Arabidopsis thaliana: one gene and its partners. The protein of the gene in region 2 interacts with the protein of the main gene of each other region in a pairwise test. Each region holds a gene or a part of one and is shown on either strand. Other genes may lie near its edges. The genes, in order: SLK2, ADT4, TY1 and WAVH2.

What was found.
Region 1: the proteins of ADT4 (region 2) and SLK2 interact in a two-hybrid assay, tested with the Arabidopsis thaliana proteins (one large-scale study listed by BioGRID).
Region 3: the proteins of ADT4 (region 2) and TY1 interact in a two-hybrid assay, tested with the Arabidopsis thaliana proteins (one large-scale study listed by BioGRID).
Region 4: the proteins of ADT4 (region 2) and WAVH2 interact in a two-hybrid assay, tested with the Arabidopsis thaliana proteins (one large-scale study listed by BioGRID).

Annotation. Positions count from the first base shown.
Region 1 is NC_003076.8:24,934,421-24,940,823, reverse strand, and holds SLK2 (SEUSS-like 2), read left to right. Parts: upstream 1-1,584; 5' UTR 1,585-1,904; exon of another isoform or gene 1,905-2,201; 5' UTR 2,202-2,283; coding exon 2,284-3,207; intron 3,208-3,302; coding exon 3,303-3,434; intron 3,435-3,545; coding exon 3,546-3,594; intron 3,595-3,700; coding exon 3,701-3,915; intron 3,916-4,001; coding exon 4,002-4,070; intron 4,071-4,161; coding exon 4,162-4,262; intron 4,263-4,451; coding exon 4,452-4,545; intron 4,546-4,628; coding exon 4,629-4,698; intron 4,699-4,806; coding exon 4,807-5,603; 3' UTR 5,604-5,862; downstream 5,863-6,403. Other genes in the region: BAG2 (BCL-2-associated athanogene 2), read right to left, coding at 1-63, 167-347. UniProt on the Arabidopsis thaliana protein: Probable transcription regulator that functions in the development of the carpel margin meristem similarly to SEUSS (SEU).
Region 2 is NC_003074.8:16,269,757-16,273,941, forward strand, and holds ADT4 (arogenate dehydratase 4), read left to right. Parts: upstream 1-1,754; 5' UTR 1,755-2,002; coding exon 2,003-3,277; 3' UTR 3,278-3,657; downstream 3,658-4,185. UniProt on the Arabidopsis thaliana protein: Converts the prephenate produced from the shikimate-chorismate pathway into phenylalanine.
Region 3 is NC_003070.9:28,811,134-28,815,065, forward strand, and holds TY1 (thioredoxin Y1), read right to left. Parts: upstream 2,032-3,932; 5' UTR 1,816-2,031; coding exon 1,630-1,815; exon of another isoform or gene 1,355-1,629; coding exon 1,266-1,354; intron 1,075-1,265; coding exon 897-1,074; intron 806-896; coding exon 740-805; 3' UTR 552-739; downstream 1-551. Other genes in the region: EC1.1 (egg cell-secreted-like protein (DUF1278)), read left to right, coding at 1-450; AT1G76770 (HSP20-like chaperones superfamily protein), read left to right, coding at 2,436-2,583, 2,659-3,245. UniProt on the Arabidopsis thaliana protein: Thiol-disulfide oxidoreductase that poorly activates chloroplastic malate dehydrogenase (NADP-MDH) and fructose-1,6-bisphosphatase. Provides reducing equivalents for peroxiredoxin Q.
Region 4 is NC_003076.8:26,259,312-26,264,703, forward strand, and holds WAVH2 (Zinc finger (C3HC4-type RING finger) family protein), read left to right. Parts: upstream 1-1,824; 5' UTR 1,825-2,160; coding exon 2,161-2,562; intron 2,563-2,641; coding exon 2,642-4,393; 3' UTR 4,394-4,859; downstream 4,860-5,392. UniProt on the Arabidopsis thaliana protein: Probable E3 ubiquitin-protein ligase involved in the regulation of root growth. Acts as a positive regulator of root gravitropism.

The DNA of each region.
Region 1 (6,403 bases), on a different chromosome or scaffold from region 2:
ATATAATCTGCATGTCTTGATGATGAACTCCTGTCGCACCAGACAATATCTTCTTTAATTCCCCTGTTGTTAAATTCAACAACAACAACAATCAAATTCCAAAAACAGAGCATACTAATAGTATAAAGGAAATACTGTATAACTCGGAATGTTTTGTGTCGTTTACCGAAAGTAGATTGAGAGTTGATACTGATCTCGTGATGGACCGACCCGTATTTGACCCGAACCCGAATGCCACGTGGCACGCTTGAGCTATGATCCGTCCTTTTCTGTACAACCATTCCTCCAGGTCGGAGCTCCATTTCACCGTCGCCGGAAGTTGTTGTTCCGATACTCATTTTCATCATTTTCTTTATTAAGAGAGATAGAGAGAAAAAAACAGAGGAATGATGAGATGAAGTTGATTTCTGAAAAAGATCAAGAAGAAGAAGAAGAAAAAAGAAACGTCTGAGCAAAGAGAAGTAAATACACTTTGTTTTGTAATAAATTAATGTTTCTGTTTCTGGACAGAACTCGTGGAAGAAGAAGAAAGATAAGAATCATATAAAGCAGATTATTGTTTTATAAAATTTTATACAATGAGAAAAAAAAGTTAAAGAAAAGAGTGACAGCTAATGTGATTGTTGTTATGTCTCATTATCAGTCCATCACAGATACATATATTTAATATAAATGTTGTATCCCCCACATATTTATTTCTATTTCTGATAAATAATGACGATATATTAATGTCGTTGTTACATTTATATTTATTTGTCATCGTTCTTCTGTATTTTATAAGTCGTGTTCTACGTTTCTAAGTACAGGTAAGCTAATGAAATAACTGAAACAGAAACTTGTGTTACACGTCACGCCTTTAACTCCGACAAACTCTGCAACTTAAAAATCTCTCTTTCTTGCAGATCCACATTGTCTAGAATTATCGTCGGTGTTGTGTGTCTTCTTGCCAAGTTTTGAATGATCCATGGACCGTACGGACCACACACGAGCTTTCTTTGATCATTTCTTGAACAAGCTAGTGCTTTAGAGACAGAGACACCGGTTAGGTTTGACCTCAAGACTGTTCGAGAACAGAGCTTTGAACGGTTGGAGAACAGAGTATAATTATTTATGGGCTAATAATGGGCCTAAAAATACTGAAATAGGCCTGTTGGGTCGTAGCTCCATATAGTTGGATGATCTTGTCGAAATATTTTAGGGGTTGAATTGTCAAAGGGAGTAATATTGGGGTCAATAAGTAATCATGCAAAAAAGAGGATATTTGTCGTAAGCCCACTCATTTACAGCTGCAATCATTGGTACAGTTATTACAAAAAAATAAAATAAAAAACATAATTTGGTCAATCAACTTTAAACTACACGCGTCGCACACGATCCATGCTCTCAATCGAACGATCCACAATTGATTTAACTTTATTGATCGCAAGGTCAAGAATATGCCACGCAATCAAAACAGCTAAAGGTTACCAATCGGTCATACGATACTTGTTACGATAAACAAGACACGTGTCAGTATTGACTAGCGGGTAATAAAAAGTACTTGCAAAACCATAAGCAGATGGGTCACCGGCTTGTCCGGTCAGATTTGGTTCTTACGATTTCCTCTAGGTATATTAACAAAGGCGCGTCAAGTTCATTGCCTAGTTCCAGCTCTCTCCAGGATTTTCCTTTTTTTTATGCAAAAACAACAAACACAAAATAAATAAGAAGATTGTTTATTTTAACTTTATATTACAGCTTGAAATTTCCAGGCAAATTTTTTTCCTTCTTCTTCTTCTTCTTCTTGTCTCATTAATTATCTTCCTCTTCTTCTGTTTCAATTCAGCTGGGTTTAGTTTTAATTTCTAGTTGTGATCTCTCAGCTTTTGTTCTATATTGATCGAAGCTCCACTTAACAGTTCTTCGTACGTTGTTTCCGTGTTCTTCGCTTTTTTATTTTGTAATTTAATTTCGGTTGCTTTTTAAATATCTAACTCCGAGATTTTTAAGGGATTGCTATCTATTTTTTTTTTTTTTGGGGATTGGTTAGTTTCTCGGTTAGTTATGTTAAGTAACGAACTTTAAAATTAGGGTTTTGATTTGGTTTTTTTTTTATTTCAGTGGTTAAGTTCAATGTCTGTGTATCTTTAATAACGCACCAGATTCATGTGTTAGGGAATGTTATTGATCTGATTTTAATCGATACATGTATAATGTTGTAGGTATCAGTAGTAAAGGTGGGACATTTGTGTCGCATTGAGGAAGAAACTTTGGATTTCAGACTCACTTGGGACCTACCCTTTAATGGCTTCTTCAACTTCTGGGATTTTCTTTCAAGGAGATGATGAATCTCAAAGCTTCATTAACTCTCACTTGACTTCCTCTTATGGGAATTCATCTAACTCTGCTCCTGGATGTGGTGGACCTACTGGTGGCTATCACAATCTCAGTATGGTTTCTGGTGATATGCATAATCCGGTTATGATGAGTGTTTCAACACCCGGTCCAAGCGCAGGAGCTAGTTCGCTTGTCACAGATGCTAATTCAGGGCTCTCTGGAGGTGGTCCTCATTTGCAGCGTAGTGCTAGTATCAATAATGAGTCATATATGCGTTTACCGGCGTCTCCTATGTCGTTCTCTTCTAATAATATCAGCATATCTGGTTCATCAGTTGTAGATGGGTCGACTGTGGTACAACGGCATGATCCTAGTGTTCAGCTAGGTGGCTCTAGTGCTACATCACTGCCTACATCACAAACTAATCAAATCCCGCTTTCTATGGCTCGGCGTGCTTCTGAATCGTTCTTTCAGGATCCAAACAACTTAACTCAAGCACGGAAAAAACCTAGATTAGATTCAAAGCAGGATGATGCTTTGCAGCAGCAGATTTTACGTCAGTGGCTTCAGAGACAGGATATATTGCAGCAGCAGCAGCAACAACAACAACAAGGCCAAAATCCACAGTTCCAAATCTTGCTTCAGCAACAAAAGCTGAGGCAACAGCAACAATATCTCCAGTCCCTCCCACCATTGCAACGGGTTCAACTGCAGCAGCAGCAACAAGTGCAGCAACAGCAACAGTTGCAGCAGCAGCACCAACAGCAACAGCAACAGTTGCAACAACAAGGAATGCAAATGCAACTAACCGGTGGGCCAAGACCTTATGAAAATAGCGTTTGCGCTCGAAGATTGATGCAGTACCTATATCATCAGCGACAAAGGCCTTCTGTGAGTGTGCATGTAGTCGTCAAATTTTTTGTTTTATGTGTATTCTAGAAAAAAGCTCTTGACAGATACCAGTCGTGTCATTGCTGATTTTGTAGGAGAGCAGTATTGTTTACTGGAGGAAATTTGTGACGGAGTATTTTTCTCCCCGGGCAAAGAAAAGATGGTGTCTTTCTCATTATGATAATGTGGGGCATAGTGCACTTGGTGTTTCTCCTCAGGCAGCCACGGTTTGTTTCCCTGACTCTTTGTTTTTTTTGGTTTCATACTCTTTATGCTGATCTTACGGTGTAGTTACAAATAGGTTACTTATTCTTGCTTTTTGTATTTTCCATTTGCAGGATGAATGGCAGTGTGATCTATGTGGTTCTAAATCGGGAAGAGGATTTGGTAAGTTCCAATTTGCTTATACCCTGATGAAGAAGAGGGAAATTTCAAAAATGTTTATGGTAGCAAAACATCTTCTCTTAGTAACTTTTTCTTATGGATTCTGCAGAAGCAACTTTTGATGTCTTGCCAAGGCTTAACGAAATCAAATTCGCAAGTGGTGTCCTGGACGAGCTTCTTTATCTGGGTGTACCGTCTGAACGCAGATATGGATCTGGAATTATGGTGTTAGAGTATGGAAAAGCAGTTCAGGAGAGTGTGTACGAACATATCCGTGTTGTTCGCGAAGGCCATCTTCGGATTATATTCTCCCAAGAGCTGAAGGTGGTTTAAAGAGCTTTTGATTCCAAATACTTTTAATCATTAATGTGTATTAAAGTAACTTAGCTTATCCTTTTTCCTTTTGCCAGATTCTCTCATGGGAGTTCTGTACTCGTCGACATGAAGAACTACTTCCTCGTCGCCTAGTAGCTCCACAGGTAACATTAATGGTTCTTACAATCTTTGTGACTCTTTTTGAAATCCCTGGTCTTGAGATTTTTTGAATGTCTGCTCCCTATGGTCGTGCAGGTGAACCAATTGCTTCAGGTTGCAGAGAAATGTCAGAGCACAATTGATCAAAGTGGATCAGATGGGATTCATCAACAAGATTTGCAAGCTAATAGCAACATGTGAGTCTTGATGATTCTAGACAATATTTCACTCTCTTTCTTCCATATTTCTCAATCAATTCAATTTCATTGTTTCTTGCATCTTGTACGGTAATTAGGTAAGATTTTTCACTGATGCAAAGAAGATCAAAGCGATTTTAGCTTAATATATACAAATATGATGTACTGATGCCAAGTCTTTTGCTCCAGGGTCATGGCTGCTGGACGTCAACTAGCAAAAAGCTTGGAGTCACATTCACTCAATGACTTAGGCTTCTCAAAACGATATGTTCGGTGTCTGCAGGTATCTCTCTGCCTACTTTCTTGCATTTTCCTGGTGGCGTGTCTCCTTTTTACTGTTTAACTCTTGCCATCTTCTTTAAACAGATTTCTGAGGTTGTCAGCAGCATGAAAGATATGATTGACTTTTGCCGTGACCAAAAAGTGGGTCCAATCGGTAAGTTAATACATAAATCCCAGAGAGTCCCTGAGATTCATCAAAACGCTTTTTTTTTACTTGGCTGTGCTTATAAAAAGCTTTCTTGCTACCTTTTAACATTTGCAGAGGCTTTGAAGAGCTATCCATATCGAATGAAGGCTGGTAAACCTCAGATGCAGGAGATGGAGCAACTAGCGGCTGCCCGAGGGCTTCCACCTGATAGGAACAGTCTCAACAAGCTAATGGCCTTGCGCAATTCCGGGATAAACATACCAATGAACAACATGAGCGGTCAAGGATCTCTTCCCGGCTCTGCACAAGCTGCCGCTTTTGCGCTTACCAACTACCAGAGCATGCTCATGAAACAAAACCATCTGAATTCAGACCTAAACAACACCACAATCCAGCAAGAACCATCAAGAAACCGGAGTGCATCCCCGAGCTATCAAGGAACTAGTCCCTTGTTACCTGGTTTTGTGCATAGCCCATCAATAAGTGGTGTATCTTCCCATCTATCTCCTCAGCGGCAAATGCCAAGCTCCAGTTATAATGGCTCAACCCAGCAATACCACCAACAGCCACCTTCCTGTAGTAGCGGTAACCAAACATTGGAACAACAAATGATTCATCAAATATGGCAACAGATGGCAAACAGCAATGGAGGCTCCGGTCAACAACAACAGTCACTTTCTGGTCAGAACATGATGAATTGCAATACCAACATGGGAAGAAACAGAACAGATTATGTTCCCGCAGCAGCTGAAACACCAAGCACCTCCAACAGATTCAGAGGCATCAAGGGGTTAGACCAAAGCCAAAACCTGGAAGGTATTATCTCTAATACATCGCTCAACTTTGGGAATAACGGGGTTTTTAGCAATGAGGTTGATGAAAGCATGGGAGGATATTCTTGGAAGTCATGAGAGGCATTTTGATAGTTAGCTCCAATGTTGTCTTTGTAAAGAACGAGTTACTAAAGACTAACTTTCTTAGGTATATGAATCTGATGAGGGGGATTCAATGTTAACGTGTCTACTGTGTTGTTGTTCTTTCTTCTTCTTAGATTAAAGCTTCTCTTTTTATGAAGAGGTTTTTCTGGAAAGTGTTACTAATTCTGGAAAAGAAAAAAGACTGTTCTTCAGGAACTCATCGCTATCAATCAATATTTTACCTTTTTTCTTATGACTTTTTTTAAGCCTCGTTTATTTAAAGCTGATACAGTTACAAACATCGGTAACACGTCACAAACAAGCCAGACACATGCTATTTTTTTCTCTGAAATTTTAATAAAATGTATTTGTGACGTGATTTTAAATCATACAAAATTCCACAAATACGGATATGTAATCTTCATCTACTTGCACTAATACAGTAATACTTTTCATCTTCAATATACCAACCATCCTACTATCTACAAGAGATAATTTGTCAACTCCTTTTACCATAGTTAATTTCATATATTACATAATTTTGTATATGAAATATTTTTGCTTTGCACTAAAGAATAAAATAAATAAATAAAAAAACCTTGCACTCAGCGTGGTGGATAGAGAACAGAGTGATTTACTTTCACATGTAAATCTTGTGAACTAACTAGACCATGTGACCATGCCAAACGTCTCCTCAACTCATCTAATTAATCACTCAAAATATACACTCAAAACATTATATAAATGATAAATCTAAACATATGATATCATATACATAGAACTACATCAGATAT
Region 2 (4,185 bases):
TTTGTTTACCTAAAACAATTTCCAAATAGGGGTAAAATGGTCATTAAAAAATTTAAAGAGGGTAGAAATGAAAATGACAAATAGGAAAGAGTATAATTAAAAAAGGATAATGTGAAAAGGTCATTTTCAGCAATTATTCAGAAAAGAATATAAGATAATGATTCTGTCGGAAAATTCAATGTTACACTTTTTTTTTACGGAAACAAGATTTTGTTACTTTTTACGGGATGACATAGTTTGCGACTTTTACTGGAAAACAGTTTAAGTAAAAAAATCACAAATTTAGGGATTTTGGCATAAAACACACAATTTTGCGGTTTTTTGTAGTAGAAACGGATTCAATATCCAAGATCCTGAAATATGTTATCAGTCAAATACAAATCATGTATATAAATATATGCTCCCGAAATGACAGATCATAGATCACCTTCCGAGTTTCGTAAAACAGTATTCACTTTGTTAATTAATTACCAAATATTTTCACCAAAGCGAACAAATAATAGACATCGTCAAAAATGAAAATGACCAACAACTTCATAAATCATAATAAATACAAAACCATTTACTATATATGTGTCCATTATGGTCTGCGCATGCTCTCACAGCTTGGCGATTGTGTCAAAGTAAAAGAAGGTGAGCTGAACCGTGTTATTCGTGGACATATAAAATTCCACATATGAGAAAGTGAACTTTGGGCCTACTATATATTTTCGTAATCAAAATTTTTATTAATTTCTGAATTCATTTATCCTCTATATATTAAATTATTAATAGAGAATCACACTTAAAAAACAAAATTTAGTTACAGTCGTATTTACAGAAATGCCAGCTGATGTGTCAGAGCAATTCTCAATCAATTTACTTCATTGTCCCTCATTTACTAGATCATTTATAAAATTTATCATTAGTAGTACATATAAATATCTCAATAACAGAAACAATAAAAAGTAAATCCAATTAAAAGTAGTAAATAATTAAAAAAAGAAATTCCAATTAAAATAATCTAATAATTAAGCAAGTAATATTTCAGAACTTAATATAGAACTACTTTCGTTTTTATATAGAAACATAAATCATATGTTAACAAAAATATTAATATAGTACTACTTTCATTTTTCTAATCAGATATTACCAATACATTTATAAATAAAGTTTTTTCCAAAAATAATATCAATTACACTTAAGTAAATTATAAATATTCAGAAGATTCTAAAAATATAATTTTAATTTAATTTAATAAGAAAATTATAAAAATAATAACTAATATATTTATACATATTTAATAACAATCAATATACGGGCAATAATAATTTTAATGCAAAAACTAGATGGTTCAAAAAAAAAATATTACATTAAATAATACACAGGCAAATTTCAGATTTCAAATAATAAAAAATTTACTATAATATATTTATCCCACACATAGTGCGGATAAACTATCTAATTTTTCTTGAAGTAGGTAACTAAGTTTTAATTGAAAAACAAACAATTAAAAAACTATATATATATATATACATATGTATATATAATAATAGAATATTCAATACTTTTTAAGAGAAATTTTACCATCCACTGCTCAAAAGAAACACCAATGATCTTGATATTTGTAGAAAAATCTATGGACGTAACACCAACAATACAAAACCATGGTAAGAACTAAGAAGAAATGAAGAATATCGCTTTCACGTAAACCAACAATATCATATATTTCAATAAAGACAACTATTATTATAGTTTTCAGAAAGAAAAAAAAGTATAGAAATTACATGGAAGGTGGTAGGTGAAGGATTTTACCGAATTACATACGTCAAGACTAATTTTGTCAAAAACAAAACAAAATTTATTCTTGTGTGTTAGTGTGTATATAAGACCATCTCTCTTCTCCTTTATCTCTCAGCTTGAGCTTCTCTCTCAACGAAAGAACTCAAGCTTTCCAACACTATAAATCTATAATACAGCTTTTATTCTCAAATTTTGTTTGTCTTACCATCATTACCAAACCATGCAAGCCGCAACGTCGTGTGATCTCAAGTTCCGATCAACAGATCCGACGTCTAGGAACAAATGTTTCTCCCACGCGATTCCAAAGCGCGTGGCTGTTACGTGCGGTTATAGGTCGGAGTCGTTTAGCTTCCCTAACGGTGTCTCCGTGAGTCGATCTGATTGGCAAAGCTCATGTGCCATTTTATCTAGTAAAGTTGCTTCTGTTGAAAATACCGGTGGTTTAGCGGACAAAATCGCCGCCGTTAATGGTCACACGAACGGCTCTGTGAATCTTGGTCTCGTCGCCGTTGAGTCAACTAACGGAAAGTTAGCTCCTGCTCAGCCGTTGACTATTACTGATCTATCTCCGGCACCGTTGCATGGTTCTAGTCTACGTGTAGCTTACCAAGGCGTTCCCGGAGCTTACTCGGAAGCAGCTGCCGGAAAAGCTTATCCCAATTGCGACGCCATTCCTTGTGACCAGTTTGACGTTGCTTTTCAGGCGGTGGAGCTTTGGATCGCTGATCGAGCTGTGCTTCCGGTGGAGAACTCACTCGGTGGTTCGATCCATCGAAACTATGATCTTCTTCTCCGTCACCGTCTTCACATCGTTGGAGAAGTTCAGATTCCGGTCCACCATTGCCTCCTCGCACTCCCGGGAGTCCGAACTGACTGTGTTTCGCGGGTGATCTCTCACCCGCAAGCCCTAGCGCAGACGGAACACTCCCTCGACGTCCTTACACCACATGCAGCGCGTGAGGCTTTCCATGACACAGCGGCTGCTGCGGAGTATATCTCAGCTAACGACCTACATGACACGGCGGCTGTGGCGAGCGCACGCGCCGCTGAGCTTTACAACCTCCAGATATTAGCGGATGGGATTCAAGACGACCCGGGGAACGTCACTCGTTTCCTAATGTTGGCGCGTGAGCCTATAATCCCACGCACGGACCGGCCATTCAAGACTAGCATCGTCTTTGCTGCCCAAGAGCACAAAGGAACTAGCGTCCTCTTTAAAGTCCTCTCGGCTTTCGCTTTCAGAGACATTAGCCTGACCAAGATCGAGTCCCGGCCTCACCATAACCGCCCGCTTAGGGTTGTTGGTGACGGGAGCTTTGGGACGTCGAAGAACTTCGAGTACATGTTTTACGTGGATTTTGAGGCATCGATGGCTGAGCCGCGTGCACAGAACGCGCTTGCGGAGGTTCAAGAGTACACGTCGTTCCTAAGGGTGCTGGGAAGTTACCCCATGGATATGACACCATGGTCCATGACATCCACAGAAGAAGCATGACCCCATCGCCAAAAACAAACTCACCAATAAATTTATTAAATTATTCTGTTCTTTCTTTTTTTGTGAAAATTGTAGTATACATTGAAATTAAACCGTAAATGTAGAGCTCATTATTCACGTGGTGATTAGGAGAAAACAAAATTTTATTTGTCTGTTACTAGCTACCAGATATATCTTACATTCTTACTTAATAGTTATGAACATTGTGGTTTATTCGCAGAATCTTTTTGAGTTCCTTGGTTTTCTTTGGTAAATTCACTCGATTTTAACCAAGAAAAGCAAAAATGATTGGCATTACCAAAAACAAAGACATATATTTACACATATTTTTTAGAAAAATGTGATCAGTTTTGTAACTTTGTTTATCTTAACAACGTTATTAGTATTTTTACTACAAATTTCTATTAAATCATATTTTTAGTAGAGATGATCCTAATATTTTCTTCAATATCAAAAGCTTAAGACCAAATTCTTTTATGTAATTATCAGCATAATGTTGTTACTAAAACTTTCTGTTAGGACTTCATCTCAAGTTCACTAAGCTCAACCACAACATATGTATACCATTAAACAATCGCTTACATGATAAAAAAAAGTAAACCAATGAAAATGAATGTGAATAAAAATCAACTTATCATATTTAATATACAATACAAAGATTTTGTTCGAAGTTTATATAATATTCACAAAACAAGTCTCCATTATTGTAGTTGGTGATATAATTTCCAACATCATTAAAATATTTTGTGAAGATTTCCTTGAAGTTTTCACGAGTAGATACAAAAAAAAAAAGTTATGGTCACCGGTCACGTGTGAACTCAACTCAAGGGTTCAACGTTTGGTTTCTAGGTGAGTCGCAAGAAATTAGCAATATAATTTCCAAGAAACTTACATGTTGAATCTAGTAA
Region 3 (3,932 bases), on a different chromosome or scaffold from region 2:
ACCTTCAACATTGTGACTCTCATGCTCATGGTGGCTTCCTCCACAGTGACAGCTCGCCCTCTCATGAAACCATCCATGGGGACGTCTTCTCCTACCACAAGCCTTGTGTACAGGCTCAAGCTTGATGAAGATACAGGGTACTGCTGGGACTCACTGATGCAGCTCCAACACTGTTCTGGAGAGCTGATCTTGTTCTTCCTCAACGGTGAGACTTACATTGGCCCTGGGTGTTGCAGTGCTATAAGAACCATTGGACGCAAGTGTTGGCCTACTATGATTGGTGTTCTTGGTTTTACTGCTCAAGAAGGTGATATGCTCCAAGGTTACTGTGATGGCAATGACTCTGACAACAATGGTGAAGACCATGCTCTTGCCTCCTCAACACTGCCTCTCTCCGTGAATTTCAAGACTACCGTTGTTAGATCTTCTGCTTCTCCTTCTAACCCTTGAGTCTTAGTATTCATCTTTACACTCCTGCTATGTTTTCTTTTGCTAAGAGAATTTTAATCTTTATGTAACTGGTGACGAATGCTTGAAAAATAGCGTCTCTGTTATTACTTTTGAGAATAAAAGATCATCATTACTCACAACAAGGTTTTACAAATCTGGCAAACATAATCTTCTTCTTCTCAAATTCTCCAAGTTAAATCAACCGAAAAACATCGCTATCACTAAGTCCTGAATAGGTCAGGGACAGTTGAAAAACATACAAATAATTAAAAAAGAGTTCATGATCCAACTATGGCTTCACTTTTAGAGAATCCTCAATTCGTTGAATGAGTTGTTTGGCCGTCAAAGCACCCTCCTGGAAATCACAAAAAAAGAAACGTTTGTGAGTGAGATTAAGAACCTTAAAACGAAAATGAAGAAATTCAAAGGCATTGAAGTCATCATACAAAGCGATCACAAGGTTCCCCATCTTTGAATAGGATGAAAGTAGGAAGTGCCTCAATCTTGTATTTATTAGCAATACTGGGGTATTTTTCGGTATCAATCTTCACCACCTGTATCTTGTCTTTCAGGGTTTCACTCACTTCATTGAGTATTGGAACCATGAACTGGCAAGGACCACACCTGCCAAACAAACAGTACATTCTGATTCCAAATCATCTGTTTAACAAATAAACTCGATAATAAGCAAACAGACTACACTGGATCCCAACATAGACCAAGTATACTCATTCATGATGAATAATAGTCAACTAGAACTGGTTGATGACCACTCAACTAACACATGTTATCATTTGACACCAAAACAAACTCACCAGGTTGCATAATAGTCAACTAGAACTGGTTTATCAGAGTTCACAAGCAGATCCTCAAATGAGTCAAATGTCTGCTTCTTGGCTTCAATCTGAAGTATGAACAAGAATGGTTTGTCATTTAGTTCAATCTAAATCAAGAAGTAGATAAAGGCACTCACTTTAAATCAATTCCAAACTCTAGAGAAAATCAGCTATAGAAACTAAAATAAGAAAAATTTCAAAATAGGAAAGCTATCATCAGCTCTACCATCAGAAGAAAGTTTGAAGCTTGAATTCAATAATTCATAGGGTAAAATTAAGTAAGCTAGAATTGAACAAAATATAAGCTTTGGAAAAAGATGTTTAAGCAGAGAAAGGCGATTACACGTCGAGGAGTGCATCGAGTCGTTGAAGATAAAGATGGAAACTTTAAGTCTCCGGTTCGAACCCGACGAACCGGAAACTGAAATTTGACGGCCGAGATAGAACGAGAAGCGAAAGCAGAAACACCTGACGATTCTTTCGAATTCAGCGACGGAACCGTAGAAGAAGAGAGAGAAATTGACGCCATGAAAGAATCAGAAAAAAACAAACGATCTCTTGATTCGGCGTTGGCGGTTGGTTAGGTTGATGATGACAAAAAAAGTTGGACACTTGTGGAAAAAAAACTCGAATTGACCAAAAAGAGAGAACGAACTCTGAAAGAAAATGACACAAGGTACTAGAAAGACAATGATGATCCACTACGGTCAAGTACACCGTATCTTTTTTGTTATAGGCCCACAAACATGTTCTAGGCCCACATGTTATAGGCCCGTTCCCAAACACCGATCACTCTTCAATTTAACTTTTTGCTCACAATCTTCAGGCTCAATCATATGACATGACAGATCTCATTGTAAATGCAATCGCAAAGGGTTATCATTATCAACTAGTACTATAAAGATAGCTGTTACTTCCCGCCAACGCAACTGGGACAGTTAAAACCGTTGAGGGTAACAAAAGACAAAACTCACGACTCCGTTTTTGAGTTTCCTGAAGATGGAAGTTACGAATATGTTCTTGTGGGCCTCTTCAAAGAAACGATATGAAATAGCCTAATTTAAACAAAACTAGAAAAGTGTGGACTAGAGAGAGACTTTAGCAAAAACTAAAAACAGATGTATCAAAAGAAGCTCACAACTAAAAAAGATGGAGCTTGAATTAGGTCTGAAGATCACTCGGACTAAAGACGATGTTTCTTCCTCTACAGATTTTCGGGTTGCCAGAGATTCTTTTGGTCATCGTTCACTTTCTCGAGAAACCAACTCTGTTTTCTTCCTCATTCTTCATCTCAAAGGTTCTATTCCCTCTCATATTTATTCACCTTTTTTTCTTACCTAGCATAGAGATTGAGATTGAAAACCAAATGCAGGATTTAAGAAGGATGGTATCGATATCGAGATAAACAAAGAAGGGAATCTGATTAAGATCAGCGGAAGAAAACAGGTTGAAGAGATGGTTTTGGTAAAGTGGGTGGAATGGAAAAAGGAAACAGAAATAAAGGAATTCAAAAAAGTGTTTCGGATTCCAGATATTGTAATTCTTGACAAGATCAAAGCGAGGTTTAATGAAGAAGATGGGACTTTAACTGTTACAATGCCTAAGAAAGTTAAGGGAATTACCGGTCTGAAGATCGAGGAAGAGGACGAAGAAGAGGAGATGAAAGAGCCGATAGTAGAAGAGAAAACAGAGGAGAAAACAGAACCAGAAGAAGAAATCAAAGAAGAGACAAAACCTGAGGAAGAAAACGAAGAAGCAGAAGAGCCACAGAGAGAAGAGGAAGAAGAGGTTGTTGAGGAAGGAACAAGAGATCATGAGGGGAAAAAAGAAGAAGAAATCGAAGATAAACCAAGAAAGAAGAGAAGAAAAAAGTTTCGTTTACCATGTTTTGCAGGATCCACTCTGCTTATGTCTATTATTGTTTTCATTATTCAACTGATTCAATCCAGAAATAAATGAAACCACACTCCTTAGGTTTTTAAGATAGGGTTCTTGTTGGTTTTTAAGGATAGAACCCACTTTCTTATTATCTGTTCTTCTTAGCCTTGTTCTTTAAAACAATAAAAGTCAACGTGTAATACAATCAAAATACAATCAGTATCTAAACCAAAAATTAGTAGGAGCGTATCAGCTAATAAATGGAAAGTATTTGACCCGAACCGTGTATAACGGCTAGATTATCACCGAACCTAAGGTTTGTGTTTGCTCTGGACTATAACAAACCCTAAGTGAAAAGGAAAAAAGGAAACTTGAATGTCAAACAAATAAATTTATATACCTGCGTCTCGCGTCTCCTCTCAAGTTAAAAACACAATTGCTCTGCATTTTTTTCAATTCTCTTCTTCGATTTCTGTCTGCTTCGTTTGCCTCTCTGTTCTCTTCTTCTTCCTTTTTGAGATTTCATTATTCATGTGTTGTTGCATCTGCTTGTTGGATTCACCCTAATCTTTGGTGTGATTCGTTGGTCTGGCCTAAGAACGACTCATATATACAACGGCTCTCTCTGTTCACTTAAAAAGCAACGAAGAAGACGAGAGAGATCACACACACAAGCCTCACGTCTTAATTTGTTTGCCTGCGATGATAAGATCTATCATCCACCGTAGAAACAGAGACAGAGAGAGAGATAGACGATTCGAAGGACAT
Region 4 (5,392 bases), on a different chromosome or scaffold from region 2:
TTATGCACAGACCAACCAATGATCATTGGCAAGCTGCAAAACGAGTTCTTAGATATTTGGCTGGAACTACGACTCACGACATTTTCTTTGCTGCTCAAAACGAGCTCTCCCTTCATGCCTTTTCAGATGCAGATTGGGCCGGAGACTCAGAAGATTGCGTTTCAACAAATGCTTACATCGTTTACCTCGGGAAAAATCCAATCTCATGGACTGCCAAGAAACAAAAGAGCGTTGCAAGGTCTTCAACAGAAGCTGAATATCGATCGGTGGCAAATACTGCTTGTGAAATCCAGTGGATATGCAGCCTTCTCACGGAGCTTGGGATCACACTTCCCAAACCGCCTGTGGTCTATTGTGATAATGTGGGTGCTACTTTCCTTTGCGCAAACCCGGTTTTCCATTCCAGGATGAAGCACATAGCCATAGACTATCACTTTATTCGTGGACAAGTTCAGCAAGGCATTCTTCGTGTGGCTCACGTCAACACTAGAGACCAACTCGCTGATGCATTAACAAAACCGCTTCCTCGAAATCACTTCACGGAACTTCGAGACAAGATTGGAGTGTGCATAGCCCCTCCATCTTGAGGGGGCGTGTTAAGGATACATAGGATCATCTCTCTTTAATATCATAATATTCCTCTGTCTCCTTTATGGAACATTCTATATTTGTACAACCCTAGTGTAACCTCCTCTGTACTTGTATATATACTTGTGTAAAGCTATTCGTATAATATAAGTCATTACATTCTTAACAAGATTAACTAACTAATATTTTCATTTTTTGGTTGATAATCAATGATTCCATGGCATGCACGCACGAAGTCATGTGTTGTCTCTACAATGGCAGCCACTTAAAAAACCTACCAAACCATTTACAAATGCTTAACTACAATTTTGTTTAGCAGCCCCCTTATCATATATGTACCCACCCATTTATTGTTTCATTCATTCATGTGGCTCTTCAGCATAACTGCAAGATACTAGAGGCCACAAATTGCAGTAATTTGTATTTTGGAGTTAATACCTTTGATTTAGGACACTAATTATCTCGAGCACTTGATCAGCCAATCTAAAAGGTTGTCAAATCAAAATAATAGAAGTGTCGAAATCAAAATCAGACCAAAACCATCAATTTTTTTGCAATAGCAAGAAGAATTCAAAATTTGCTGGACCTGGACCAGTCTAATCTTTATGTCATATCATTAGCTCTTGTCGTCACCATATATTATAAATCATTTTGTTGGTAAATAAATGAAAAAAAAAAACTTTTCGACCTTTCTCCATCAAAGACCTTTTACAAAATTCCAAACCCAAAACTTTAGGTTAAATTCCTCGCTCCAGCCAGTATGTAATTACGTAAGCAACTATCAATTAAATATACAACTCAATTCACAATCATGAAGATAACTCGAATACAACGTGTTTTAGTATCATTTATATTTCGTAAGGAAAATAAGCTTACCGTTTATTGCTCAGACTGTAACGTCACGTGCCCACATGTTTGACCTTACACTCCATCACAATCTGCATTTCGAAGAATCCGATAAGATTGGAAATGATTTATATAATCGAACCACATTGTGGAACATTCAAGAGGAATCCACATTAGACAATCTAATAAACTGTTTAATATTTTGAAAAGAAAGATTTTACATGCAAATGGAAAACAAAGATCTCCGCGTCTCAAGTTATTTGAAATCTCATTTTGCATATGGTCGGTTATTACCGTTGACTTTTAACTTTATCGTCCATCCCAATGAAACAACACTTGAAATATGTAAAAAAAATAGCAAAATTGACCCAAAAAAAAGAAGGACTTAACGGATCAGTGATTATTTTCTTCGAGGCAAAACAATTACATGCAAATGGAAACAAAAGCCAATTCACACGCATAAAAGTCACAATTTTTACCTTATAATATTCCTACAACTTAAAATAACATAAAAAAAAATGTCTTTATCGAAACATCACTAAAGAAAAAGAAATCTCTCTATAGTCTTTATCTTAGTATTTAATTTCTCCATCTTCCTTATGATCCATTATGCCCAAAGTCCTTCTTCTTCTTCTCTATAATTACTTCCACAAATAGAAGAAGAAGAAGAAGAAGAATAATATAGAAAAAAAGAGAGCTTCTCTTCTTATTTCTTTCTCACAGGAAATGGTGTTTGGTTGGAGAAAAGCGTTTTGCACTTCCGTTTCAAGTAATCAAGATAAACCTCAACAACATTCATCATTACACACTACTGATCCTCCAATTCCCACACCAAGATTCCGATCAAAGTTTGGTTTTTTATCCAACCCTTCAACTCCTCGTCTCCGATCACGCGGCGGAAGCGGCACTGGATGCCGCTCCTCAGCTTCCACATCAGTCACTATCCCATCTCTTCCAACTAGTCCCAAACTCCATTGCAGGACTACGAGCAATGCTACTCCAAGGACTAGTAACAGCTCAAGTCCCAAGTTTTTCTCTAACCCTTCTTCTCCTAAATCATCATCTTCTTCTTCCTCTCAAGGCGGCGGCGGCGTCTCTCTCCTCCGTGCCACGCTTCTTCTCAACAAGGTAGTTACTTTTGATTCAATCAAGTTCTTAATTTGAAAGACATAATCTAAAGCTCCGTTTTGTGTGTGTGTGGATGCAGAGTAATAGTAGTAGATGTGCGATTTGTTTGCAGAGAGTGAATTCAAATCAAAGCAACTCGACGGCGGCAATTTTCACGGCGGAGTGTTCACATTCGTTTCACCTTTCTTGCGTCAATGGATTAGAAGACAAGCGTTGTCCGTTTTGCTCTGCCGCATGGAATCACGCGCCAAAGTCGAATTATCCGGCTGTTAATAATAACTTCGGATCCGACCCGATTAGACGACCCGAGATCCGAGAGATCAAAACGGGGAAGTCACTGAGAGTGTACAACGACGATGAGCCGTTAGCTTATTCGCCGGTTTCTCTTGCTCAGATCAACACTATACATGAATCAGACGAAAACGACGACGTTGAAGATGACGATGACTTCCCCGGATTCTTCCGAGATTCTTCGATTACGTCTGATATGGTTCCTTCAATCTCAGGAAATCTGGAGGTTAAGTTGCTGCCGGAATCTGCCGTTGTGGAAACCGGGAAAAAGAAGGAGACACACGTCGTCATCATGAAACTAAAAGCGTCTCCGTCGCCGTCGTCCATCACCGATGCGATTAAGGCGCGAAGACCATCGATAGATCTGGTAACGGTTCTCGATTTAAGCAACGGCGGTGCTAATTTGCAAACGGTTAAACACGCGATGAGATCGGTGATCTCTCTTCTCCGAGAAATGGATCGTTTATCGATCGTCGTTTTCTCGACGGGGTCAAAACGGTTAATGCCGTTACGACGAATGACGGCGAAAGGAAGACGATCGGCGCGGCGAATGGTCGACGCACTCGGCGGAATGGAAACCACCGGCGGAGTTGGAATGAGCGTTAACGACGCGTTGAAGAAAGCGGTTAAAGTCGTTGAAGATCGGCGGGAGAAGAATCCGTCAACGAGCATCTTTGTTTTATCGGACGGTCAAGATCAACCGGAGGCAGTTTTGAAAGCTAAACTAAACGCAACGCGCATTCCGTTCGTCGTGTCTACCACGCGTTTCTCTCGTCCGGAGATCCCGGTTCATTCCGTTTACATTGCTTCTCCTGGAGCGTTGCTTCACGCGCCGCTACGAGACGCGTTCACCGAAAGAATCGCTTCGTTGCTCAACGTGACTCTCCATAACGTGAAGCTAAATCTCAGTTTGGTCAACGGATCTCATTTGACTGAGATTTCATCGGTTTACTCTTTAACCGGTCGACTCGAGAATTTCGGATCCGGTTCTGTCATCCAAGTCGGAGATTTGTTTGCGGAGGAGGAGAGAGAGTTTCTCGTTGAGCTCAAAGTGCCGACTTCGTCGAGTGGTTCCCACCAAGTAATGTCCGTACAGTCGTCGATCGTTGACCAAATGACACATCAGCCAATGACATGTCCTAAAGAAAAACGATTTTTGATCCCACGGCCACAATCCGTCAGATATGTATCTTCAAGCATCGAACGGCTGAGAAATTTACACTCCATGTGCCGCGCTGTAGCGGATTCACGCCGGCTTATCGAGCGTGAGGATTTATCCGGAGCGTATCAGGTTCTAACGACGGCTCGGTCCAATGCGTCTCATTCGGATGATAGTTTAAGGAGTTTGGAGGTTGAGCTAAATGAACTTAGCCGGATTAAACCGAGAAATAGTATATTAAACCGAACTGAAGATAAACCGGAGCAGCTTACCCCTACTTCGGCTTGGAGAGCCGCCGAGAAATTAGCTAAAGTGGCTATTATGAGGAAGCATTTAAATCGAGTCAGCGATATGCACGGCTTGGAAAACGCCAGATTTTAATTTTAATTTCCCTTTTTTTCGAAAATTCGATTTCAATGATTTTTGAATATATAATGGTACATAATTTATATAAGGAGGATAAGCAATAATTTAGTAAGGTATAAATAATAGAAGTATGATTATTCAGAAAAAGACCCACATAGGTGCATGATAGCGACAAGCAGTAGCCGACGGGTGTGGCCTTTTGTATTGCAGAGAGATTGAGACCCTACATTAGAAGGAATTAATTGGTCTTTTAGCATTTTTATCTTCTTCTTCCTTTTTGTAATCTTCAAAAACTCCAAATTAATGACTGAATAGTTAAAAAAAGTTGTAGATCAAATAAATGAAGTCTGCTTTTTTTGTGTACTATATAGAATTAAAAGTTGAGGTATAGTGGATTAGAGAGTGTGCTTGTAATGCTGGACTTCAAAATCAAAAGTTAAGTTTATATTATCATATGCCGTTTAACTTAAGAGGATCTATAATATATTATATCTTTCCAAATGAATGATCATGATTAGTCATGTGATCATCATTATAGCCTATTTTGTTATAGAAGGCACCGGGTTTGAATGATTTGAATAGTGCGTGGGGATTGTCTTTGTTGGTTGTTGGTGAATGGTTTGGTGGGTGCACCGTGGTAGAAACCAGGTCATGCGCCGTTGCAAAGCTTTCTTCTCGCTTAAATTCATTCATTTTATATCATTAAGACATTTACTAATTATATGTAGCTAGCGCCAAGTTGCAATTTGTTTTGAATGCAATGATTTTGTATACTTTTAAAATGGATGAAATGATTAACTATTGTCAAAGGTCCACTTCTCGATGTGATTCACTAAAATGATCAGTGGCAGAAGAATCTCGAACTATATATATGGTCAAATCATAACTAAAAAAACTAAGCTATTATTTTTTCACAAAAAAAAAAACTAAGCTATCATTCATCACGCAGTTACATATTGCATATGGACAATGTTAATGTCAACTAATGAAAGGGAAAGAATCTCGAACTATATA